Linked DNA regions of Macaca mulatta. Each later gene encodes a partner of the first gene's protein in a complex. Links are inferred from orthologs where the notes say so. Each region holds a gene or a part of one and is shown on either strand. Other genes may lie near its edges.

Evidence for each region.
Region 2: the proteins of CAST (region 1) and CAPN2 are in contact, whole or in part, in a crystal structure (PDB 3BOW), measured with the Rattus norvegicus proteins. The link is inferred for Macaca mulatta from reciprocal best matches to the Homo sapiens genes CAST and CAPN2. Residues at the interface, in NP_445747.2 of Rattus norvegicus: Glu571, Leu572, Asp573, Ala575, Leu576, Asp577, Glu578, Leu579, Ser580, Ser582, Leu583, Gly584, Gln585, Arg586, Gln587, Pro588, Leu596, Asp597, Asp598, Lys599, Val600, Lys601, Glu602, Lys603, Ile604, Lys605, Ala606, Glu607, His608, Ser609; in NP_058812.1 of Rattus norvegicus: Glu62, Leu63, Ser68, Lys69, Gln99, Gly100, Ala101, Leu102, Gly103, Trp106, Lys161, Asp162, Leu165, Leu166, His169, Ser196, Gly197, Gly198, Thr200, Ser241, Asp243, Ile244, Thr245, Asp249, Ser250, Glu251, Ala252, Val253, Val259, Lys260.

What each region holds. Positions count from the first base shown.
Region 1 is NC_133411.1:103,012,265-103,016,717, forward strand, and holds the start of CAST (calpastatin), read left to right. Parts: upstream 1-1,356; 5' UTR 1,357-1,700; exon of another isoform or gene 1,701-1,715; intron 1,716-1,882; 5' UTR 1,883-1,953; coding exon 1,954-2,028; intron 2,029-2,535; exon of another isoform or gene 2,536-2,647; coding exon of another isoform or gene 2,648-2,677; intron 2,678-4,453.
Region 2 is NC_133406.1:81,524,151-81,528,694, reverse strand, and holds the start of CAPN2 (calpain-2 catalytic subunit), read right to left. Parts: upstream 2,957-4,544; 5' UTR 2,823-2,956; coding exon 2,586-2,822; intron 1-2,585. UniProt on the Homo sapiens protein: Calcium-regulated non-lysosomal thiol-protease which catalyzes limited proteolysis of substrates involved in cytoskeletal remodeling and signal transduction. Proteolytically cleaves MYOC at 'Arg-226'.

The DNA.
Region 1 (4,453 bases):
CAAACTTTAATGCCACCAAGTCAGTGGAAACTATTCCAGAGTTTGAATAAAGTACTCCAGGGATCTAAAACCTTGAATCTGGGACATGTAGGCTCCCCAGTAAGAAAATCATTCTTGTTCCTGGGGTGGAGGCCAGGAAGGAGGAGCTGCCTGTCACCTCACCCCTACAGCTTTTGTGTTTTTTAAAATTACTGTAGTGGTGTGGTCACAATCATAAGAAGATCTTGTTTTCAGACTTATGGCATACTTTCCCTCCTTTCTGAATGTAACCGATGCCAACAAACATTTGTTTTTCCTGAGTGAACATAGTCCCAATATCTAAGTTGCTTCATTTTTATGTATAAATTCCTGCAGTGCTACCTGTTTGTTGAAATGCTAGATACACAGGCAGTAAGTAGAATCCTTTAAGAGGAAATGCATTTAAATCCTCTTCTCCCCCCATCCCCTCCCTCAAAATTAAGAATGCTGCTATCCTATCCTTTAAGGAAGAAGTCAGAATTTCTAAAATGAGGAGGTAGAAAGGAAACCAGAATTCTGTTCTGTCAGGCTCCACACAGCATGACAAATCTCTCCTTAAAATCTGCCTTCTGGCCGGGTGCAGTGACTCACGCCTGTAATTCCAGCACTTTGGGAGGCCACAGTGGGTGGATAACTTGAGGTCAGGTGTTCGAGACCACTCTGACCAACATGGTGAAACCTCGTCTCTACAAAATAAATAAATAAATAAATAAATAAATAATAAAAAATAAAAAATTAGCTGAGTGTGGCGACGCGCCTGTAGTCCCAACTACTTAGGAGACTGAGGCAGGAGAATCACTTGAACCCGGGAGGCAGAGATTGCAGTAAGCAGAGATCGCGCCACTGCACTCCAAACTGGGCGACAGAGCCAGGCTGGGTCTCAAAAAAAAAAAAAAAAAAAAAAAAAAAATCTGCCTTCTCTCTCTTCAACTGTCTAAATCCCAACACTGCAGACAGCGGTGACCCCAAGTCCCAAAATGACGATGCTATTGCAGGGTAACAAACAGGTTTTCTGTCAGGCCTGATGGTGAACCAGCAGCGACTGCAGGCTGACAGTCTCTCACATAAGCATGTCCTAGTAGGGCTTGTTAAATTTCACTTCTAGCCCCAAACCAGGAAGTGCTGTTTAAGATGAGCCCAAGACAAAAGCAATCTAGCTTCAGAAACAAAACTCGCCAGACTCTAGAAAGACCATAAGAGTTTAATAAGGGTTTAAATTTGGGACTGTTCTCCGCTTGGCATTGGAACCTATGGTCTCCTCCCCATAAAAGTTTATTAAAATTCGAAACTGCCAAAAAACAAAGTAAAATCATATACGACCTATACAGGCGCGTGCACGCACTTACACACACACACACACACACACACACACACACACACACACACACACAGACTAATTTGTTTTTATGATCCGCTTCCTTATCTAGACTGTCCAGGCTTGGGCCAGATTTGAGTTGGTAAACTCTCACAGCTAAAGCAGAGAAGAATGTAGAAAGAGTATCTACTTCTCCGGATTATTGGGAGGAGGGTCGAAGCGTAGACTGGCCACGCCCGGGTCCCGCTCTCTCGTTGCACAACTGCTAGATAGATCTGGGCATCGAAGGAGGAACGATGTAACCTCCAACCCCTTCTTTCTGACCAACCGGAACCCGAGCAGTGCTGGGACCGGGGAGGGTCACCGGGTGAGGACCGGGGCGGTGGGTGTTAAGTTACAGGGCAGGAGCCCGGGTCCCTCCACGGGCAGGAAGGGGAGGGCCCATCGGGGCTAGGGGAACCCCGGCGCAGACCTGGGGTGGGGTCGGAAAAGCTGCCTCACCGCGCGCTCCCGGGCCCTCCGCTTCCTCCCTCCCTCCCTCCCTGGCAGGACTCCCCGCCCGGCCTCCCCGCCACTCTCCGCGGCGCATTCCCGGAGGCAGCGCCCGCAGCGGCCTCGCCATGTCCCAGCCCGGCCAGAAGCCCGCCGCCTCCCCGCGTCCCCGGCGCGCAGCCGCCGCCCGCCGCACCCAGGAGGTGAGTGGCGCTCCTGTCGGCGCCGCGGGGCTGGGCGACGGGGGACCGGGTCCCGGAGCTGTGGCCGCCCTCCCTGGGCGTTGCCAGCCTGGCCGGTCTGCCGCCCCCGGCGCCCCTGCGGGGCAGGGAGAGGGCTCGGGGCTCGGCCGCTGTCCGGCAGGTGGCTGGAGGTGTCTGCGGTTCCCCGGCCGGGTCCAGTGCGCTGGGCGTGGCGTTGGCCGGGTAGAGTGTAGTGGGGGCGCGTGGAGAAAAGTTGGCTGGTGAGACGTGGGTGAACGGGGAATGAGGTTCACTCAGGACCCCCGAGTGAGTGCCTTGGTTTCACTGGACAGCGGGATCTAGTTTTCCGCGCTAAGGCCGGGCCGCAGGGCGTGGCTGCCTGGAGACGCAGAGCCTCTTCCCTAACCAGGCAGGAGCCAAATCGGGCGGGCGGGGAGGGGCGGGGTCTGCGCCGGGCTCCACCCCCAGGGTTCTGCCCACCTGGCAGCCGCGGGATGTGCCGAGTTCAGTGCCAGCCAGGTCCCGGCCAGGCAGAGTGCGAGCCCGGCGCCTCCAACACAGCACCCCGCGCCCTCGCTGGGTCCCCCGCCGTGCGGATCGGAGTTAGCCGGTTGTTGCCATGGCATTCGCCAGCTGGTGGTACAAGACGGTAAATAGGAGCGGTTGTGCCTGGGCAAGACTGGGAAGGGAGTGTGTTGGAAGGGAATGTGTTTGCTTTGCCCTTCTGGGCGTGCGGATGAAGCGTTGTCCGGGGTTTGGCGTGGAAGGGGTGCGGCCCGGGTGCGAACCGGATGCGACCTCCTCACAGACCTTCAGGTTAGGCTCCGGGAGAGGCTGGGGACTCACCCTCTTGTGGTATGTGTGAGCGCGCTCGAGCGTGAGCAGCGCATGCACCTTTCTCGCCCCTGTGTCAAGCACTGTGCTCTGCTGGCGCTCACAAGTGGGATGGAACTGGAATTGTTGCTGGAGGAATTCTGTCTAGAAGGTGGATTCCTGAATGAACTCGGACGCAGCTCGCAAGAGCTTAGATCTAGGGTTCGTTTTTAACCCTTAAGCAAAGGAAAGGTAGATGCAATGTGAGGCAGGGAGAAAATCCCAAACACCAAGGGTTAGAAGCAACTGAGATCTAAGACCAAGACCCTTGGAGAGAGCGGTGGAGGGGTTGGGGAGAGAAAGCGAGAAAGAGAGAGGGAGGGAGGGAGAGAGAGCGCGCACAAATGCGAACTGCTCTGCACTTTATTACTTTGGATGAGGGACAAGAACGTTCCATTTGTTTGGTGCATTGAATGTCTGTCCTACCAATTAGGTGTGATATCCAGTCTAGCTGGCACTTGTAGTGTTTTGGAACCAGGAAGCATGATTTAACATTAGACTGCTTTCCAAAAACAACAAAAACCAAAAAACAAAACCACACACAGTTTTGTTGACAGTGAGAGCCAAAATGTTTATGTCTCATGGATTTATGGTGAGAATTAAAAAATTAGTTAGGTATGTCTTTTTCTTAGCATGTGGTATTGGAAAAAGCAAAGATGTTGGAAACAGACACACTTTAGAGCTAGAAACCCTGTATAAGAATCAAGAAAGAAACTGTTACTTATCAGACAATGGACATTTATTGATCATCTACTATGTGCCAGGCAGAATTATATCCCAAAAGTAGTGGTTTTTTTAGATTATTTTTTACTCTCCCTTTCTATATATATAGTATATATGTATAGTGTGTGTATGTGTGTATATTTATAGGATATATATATATATATATGCACACACACACATACACTGTACAGGGTCTCTCTCACTATGTTGCCCAGGCTGGTCTAAAACTCCTGGTCTCAAGCAATCCTGCCACCTCAGCCTCCCAAAATGCTGGGATTACAGACATGAGCCACTGCACCAGGCCTACAAGTTCTTTTTAAAGCCTCCATGTACACTGTGGAGAACAAAGAGTTTTTCTTAAATGAAAATAAGTCAACCTTTTCCATCTGCTTTCACATCTGTAAAATAGAAATCATATGCACTACATAAGTATTGGTGAGGACTAATTAGATTCAAAAATCAAGATACAATATACATATACTTTTAAGAATTGGGAATTCCAATTTCCCTTGAGATATTTCTTCTTGAGTGTTTTCCAGTACATTTCCTGGACTTTTACATGTAGCATTTTATTGATGTGGTAAGAGCAAACGTTTACTTTGAGTCATTATTGGCCTAAGGTTCTTATCAAAATGCACCATGTACATTATCTGCAAATATGGATAGGGATAGTTCAGAGTTGACATCAGACTTCTCCTTCCAGACTCATGATTCTCTAAAGGAAACTCTGCTGGATTACTTGGATGAAAGTAGTTTAAATCTATGTTTTTAACCCTGTTTTGTTTAGTCATGGTCTGATGTTTTTGCTAAAACCTCTCTTAGAATCCAA
Region 2 (4,544 bases), on another chromosome or scaffold:
CCCGTATTCTCACTTCCTCAGGGACCCTGTTTCACTGCCCCTCCCTGCCTTTATCTTTAATCCCTTCCTCCTCGTGATTCAACATGTGACACATTCAAGTTGTTCTCATATGAAAAAAAAAAAAAACCGGCTCTCAAAATCCAGGTCCTGCTCTACCCATCAGTTCTCCTCTCTTCCCAGGGGCCCTTCTTAAATGAGTTGATCACGTTCTTCATTTCCAGTTCCTTTACTCTGGAGTCTATAACAATCTGGCTTCTACCCTCACCTTTCCATTGAAATTGCTCTGCTAAACTCACCAATGACCTGCTAGTGTTCAAATCCAGTGGAAACAATTGTGCTCTCCTTGCCAGACCTCAGCAGCATTTGAGAAGGTAGGATAGAGGCAGACAACGCAGCCATAAAGGGTGGGCTCAACATGCACAGACTACACACAGTCCTGGATCTATGGCCTATATCCACTTGACTCTGAGCAAGGATTTAACCTTCCCAAGCCTCAATTTCTTCAACTGGCAAATGGGGATCGTAATAGTCACACTCTTCCTTGGTAGTGCAGTGCACAGCCCGCCTGCCCTAAGCAGTGGCCCTAGATCATCTCTAGACCTCTATATCCTCATCTGGAAGTCCCACAGGCATTTCCAACTGTTGGGGGACCTGTCTCTGTCACCTCACTAGCCTCAGAAGTAAGTCTTCAGAAGCAGAAACCATATGCATTGTGCCTAGCATATAGGAGGTATTCGAGAAATGCTTATTGAATGAACGAAAGAATAAGTGAATGAGTGTGAACTCACTGAGTAAACTGTAAAGTGCCATGCAAATGTAAAGTGAACACATTCTCTTGGTTTGCGTTTCATTTTTTTTTTTTTTTTTTTTTTTTACTTTTTTATAGAGACAAGTCTTACTGTGTTGCCCGGGCTGGTCTTGAACTCCTGGCTCAAGTGATCCTCCCACCTTGGCCTCCCATAGTGCTGGGATTACAGGCGTGAGGCACCACGTCAGGTCAGTTTACCACTTTCGCAACCATAATTTCATCTGAGGCTCATTACAATCCTGCATCCATTCATTCTACAGTCACTTCTTTTGTGTTCACTAGTGTATCTCCTGAGCTCTCAGGACAGTGCCTGGCATGTAATAGGTGCTCCATCAATGTTGTTGAATGAATGAGTGAATGAATGAATGGATGAATACTGTGAAAGGCATGGCTATGTGGTAGGCACTGGGGATATACTGGTAAATAATATACACATGATTCCTGCAGTTCAGTAGGAAGAACAAATACATGTGATTATATTTCTAAACTGTGACAATGCTATGAAGGAAATGAGTGGGGTGAGAGTTAGAGAATAACAAGGTGGGGAGGTGGCTGCTAAGAAGGGTCAGAAAATACCTGTTTGAGGAGGGAACATGTGACTAAGTTGGAAAGAATGAGAGTGAGCCACACTCCAGGTAAGAGCGTGCCTTCCTGGTGAGAAGGCCTCGTGCAGGCAAGAACTGGCTCTTTGAGAGACTGAAAGGAGGCCAGGATGGCAGGGTCTGGAGGGCCACGAAAGAGAGAAAATATCTAGGCAGGGTGTGTTATTTTAGATGAAGACACGGAGGCACAGAGAGTTTAAACCGCTTCCTCAAGGTCACCCAGCAGGTTAGCAAGAAGGTGAATCCAAGTGCTCTGAGTCTGGGCTAGGGTGCTTCCTGCAGCCCTCGCTACCTATGAGCTGGATTTAGGGAAACAGAAGGTGACCTGGGAGGCTGCCGGGTGTGGAAGCAGAGCTGGAAGGCTTGTTCTCATAACAGGAATCTAGAAGTTGGACTTCAGGCAGGCTTCCCTAGGCGTGGTAGGGGAAGCCTGGGGAAGTCCCAAAGGAGGCGGTTCCCCAAGAAACGGAATGGACAAGTAGATTGGGGAGGGCAAGTTGTCCCAGGGCCGGGAGGTCAGAGACCCTGGGGGACGGGATAATGGGGGTCTGGAGGGCTCCCGGAGCTTTCCCCAGTGAGGATTCCCACCAGGCAAACCATGAGACACCTCCGTGTCCTGGGTTAATTACCATTGTCGATGTTATGGGGAGGTATCGCTGGCTCCCCTTTGGAAAAATAAATGTAACCCCAGGGCTGCATGAGACTATCCTTAGTCACAAAATGACCAGGCTCTGGCCTGTCCCCCTCCACGAACAGACAGAACCCCAGTTGGAGACGGACTTTGTCTGGTGGATGTTGCCTCTCCCTTCTCTGCAGACCCGATTCCCCTCCTCTTCCAGGTCCCCGCTACAGTTCAATTACAAGTTTCACCCCGGCCTCCTGTGTCACCCTGAGTTTTTGTGAAGTCCTAAATTGGCCTGCTAGTGGGATTTGAGTGCAGTGATTCGCCCCGACCCGCCCAGGAAAGCGTGGTGGGTGGAAGAGAGGGCAGGCCCCGTGAGTTCCCCCACGCTCGAAAGGAGTCCCAGACTCCGGCGGCGTGTAGGTGTCGCAGGCCTGCGGGGTCCTGGCTTGCGGCTTCCCCACTGCAGCCGCGCCCCAGCGCGCCGCGGGCCAGCTGCACCCCTCCCTGCCCGGCACCCCGCCCTGCCCGCGTCCTGCCGCGCACTTCCTACCGTGGGTCGCTTCCACTCGATGCCCCGGGTTTTGCTGGAGTAGGGCCCCAACTCCTTGAAGCCCAGGGCCGAGGGGATGGCTGGGAAGGAGGGGTCCTGGAAGAGCGTCCCGGCCTCCAGGCACTCGTTCCGCAGCGCCTCATAGTCCTGGTTGAGGTACTTGATGGCCCTCTCGTGGGAGCCCAGCCCCTCGGCCGCCTCCCGGTCCTTCACCAGCTTGGCCGCGATGCCCGCCATGCTGCGGCCCCGGCGGCCGTGCTGCTCACAGAAAGGTCGGGGCGACTTCGCGCTGCGCTCGGCTGGGGCGCGGCCAGGGCCCGGCGCGCTGCTGCGGACACTGCGGGCGCAGCCACTGCGAGCGATGATTCACCGGAGGGAAGCGGCCCGGCCCGCGGGGTGTGGCCTCAGCCGCTCCCGGCCTGATGGGCTCCCGGCCCGGGACCAGGCCAGCCTGCGGCCTGCGGAGCGCCGGGACCGCCGCGACCCGGGGCCGGTGCTGCCATCTGCGGACAGCTCCCGGGATGGCGCGGCCTGGCGCCGGGAAGGCTCGCGAATCGCGGTCCAGAGTTGGGGCTCCCACCGGAACCCGAGGCCACCTTTACACTCAATGGGGAGGAAGGCTGGGCGACACCGGAGGCTAGGGTAGTTGTGGCCGTCCAGAAAACACCCGGGGAGTTAGCAGAGGATCAGGTAGTGAAGTTGAGGAAACTAAATCAGCTGCCCTGAACCTTGTGCCAAACACCGTCTTAACGGCTCTGCATACATCATCTCATTCAATCCTCCCAGCAACTCTGAAGAAGGCACTGATATTGTTCCCATCTTACAGATGAGAAAACTGAGCCTCAGAGAGGCTAAATGACTTCCCAATGTGGCACAACGGTCACAGGCAGAACAGGGACTCTAAGCCACGGAGGCCTGTTGCAATCACGATGCTGCAGTTACTACTGCTCAGCTGTTTATTTGATTACAGATAGGGTTGTCAGATTTGGCCAGTAAGGCTGGGCGCGGTGGCTCACGCCTGTAATCCCAACACTCTGGGAGGCTGGAGGCAGGTGGATCACCTGAGGTCAGGAGTTCGAGACCAGCCTGGCCAACATGGTGAAACCCCGTCTCTACTAAAAATACGTTGTGGCAGGTGCCTGTGACCCCAGTTACTTGGGAGGCTGAGACAGGAGAATTGCTTGAACCCAGGAGGCAGAAGTTGCAGTGAGACGAGATCGCGCCACTACACTCCAGCCTGGGTGACAAAGCAAAACACCATATCAAAAATAAAATAATATAATATAAAATAAAAAGATTTGGCCAATAAAACAACAGCCCTCCCAAATGTTTAATTTGAATTTCAGATAAACAACAGATACTTTTAAAGTATATGTAGGCCCCAAATATTGCATGGGTATACATACTTATACTAAAAGAAAATATGATTCATTGTTTATCTGAAACTCATATTTAACTGGTAGGATGAGTTGGGTTACTGTTGGAGAGGGCTTAGAATAGTGCCTGTGTTGGCTACTGTGACCACTCTGTTGTGGAGTCAGGGTGTGATTCTCAGCTCACACACAGAGACATGGGTGCGTGCCAAGAAATGCAGATGGGAAGAAATTACCTCCTCTCCTTCTCTACAGTAGTAGGAAGGAATTTGGGTTTCACTGGAAAATTGTGCATGGTGTACAGCAGTGGTTCTCCACTGGGGCAGTTGTGTCCCATATCCCACCCCAGGAAACATTTGGGAATGTCTGGAGATAGTTTTTATTGTCACAGCTAGGAGATGAGGTGCTACTGGCCTTTACTAAGTAGAAGTTAGGGATGCTACTAAGCATCTTACAATGTCCGGGATAACTCTTGTGAACCCAGAAAACCTGAAACAGGTCTCAGTTAATTTAGAAAGTTAATTTTGCCATGGTTGAAGACGCACACCTGTGACACAGGAAGCCCTGAGGACACGTGCCCAAGGTG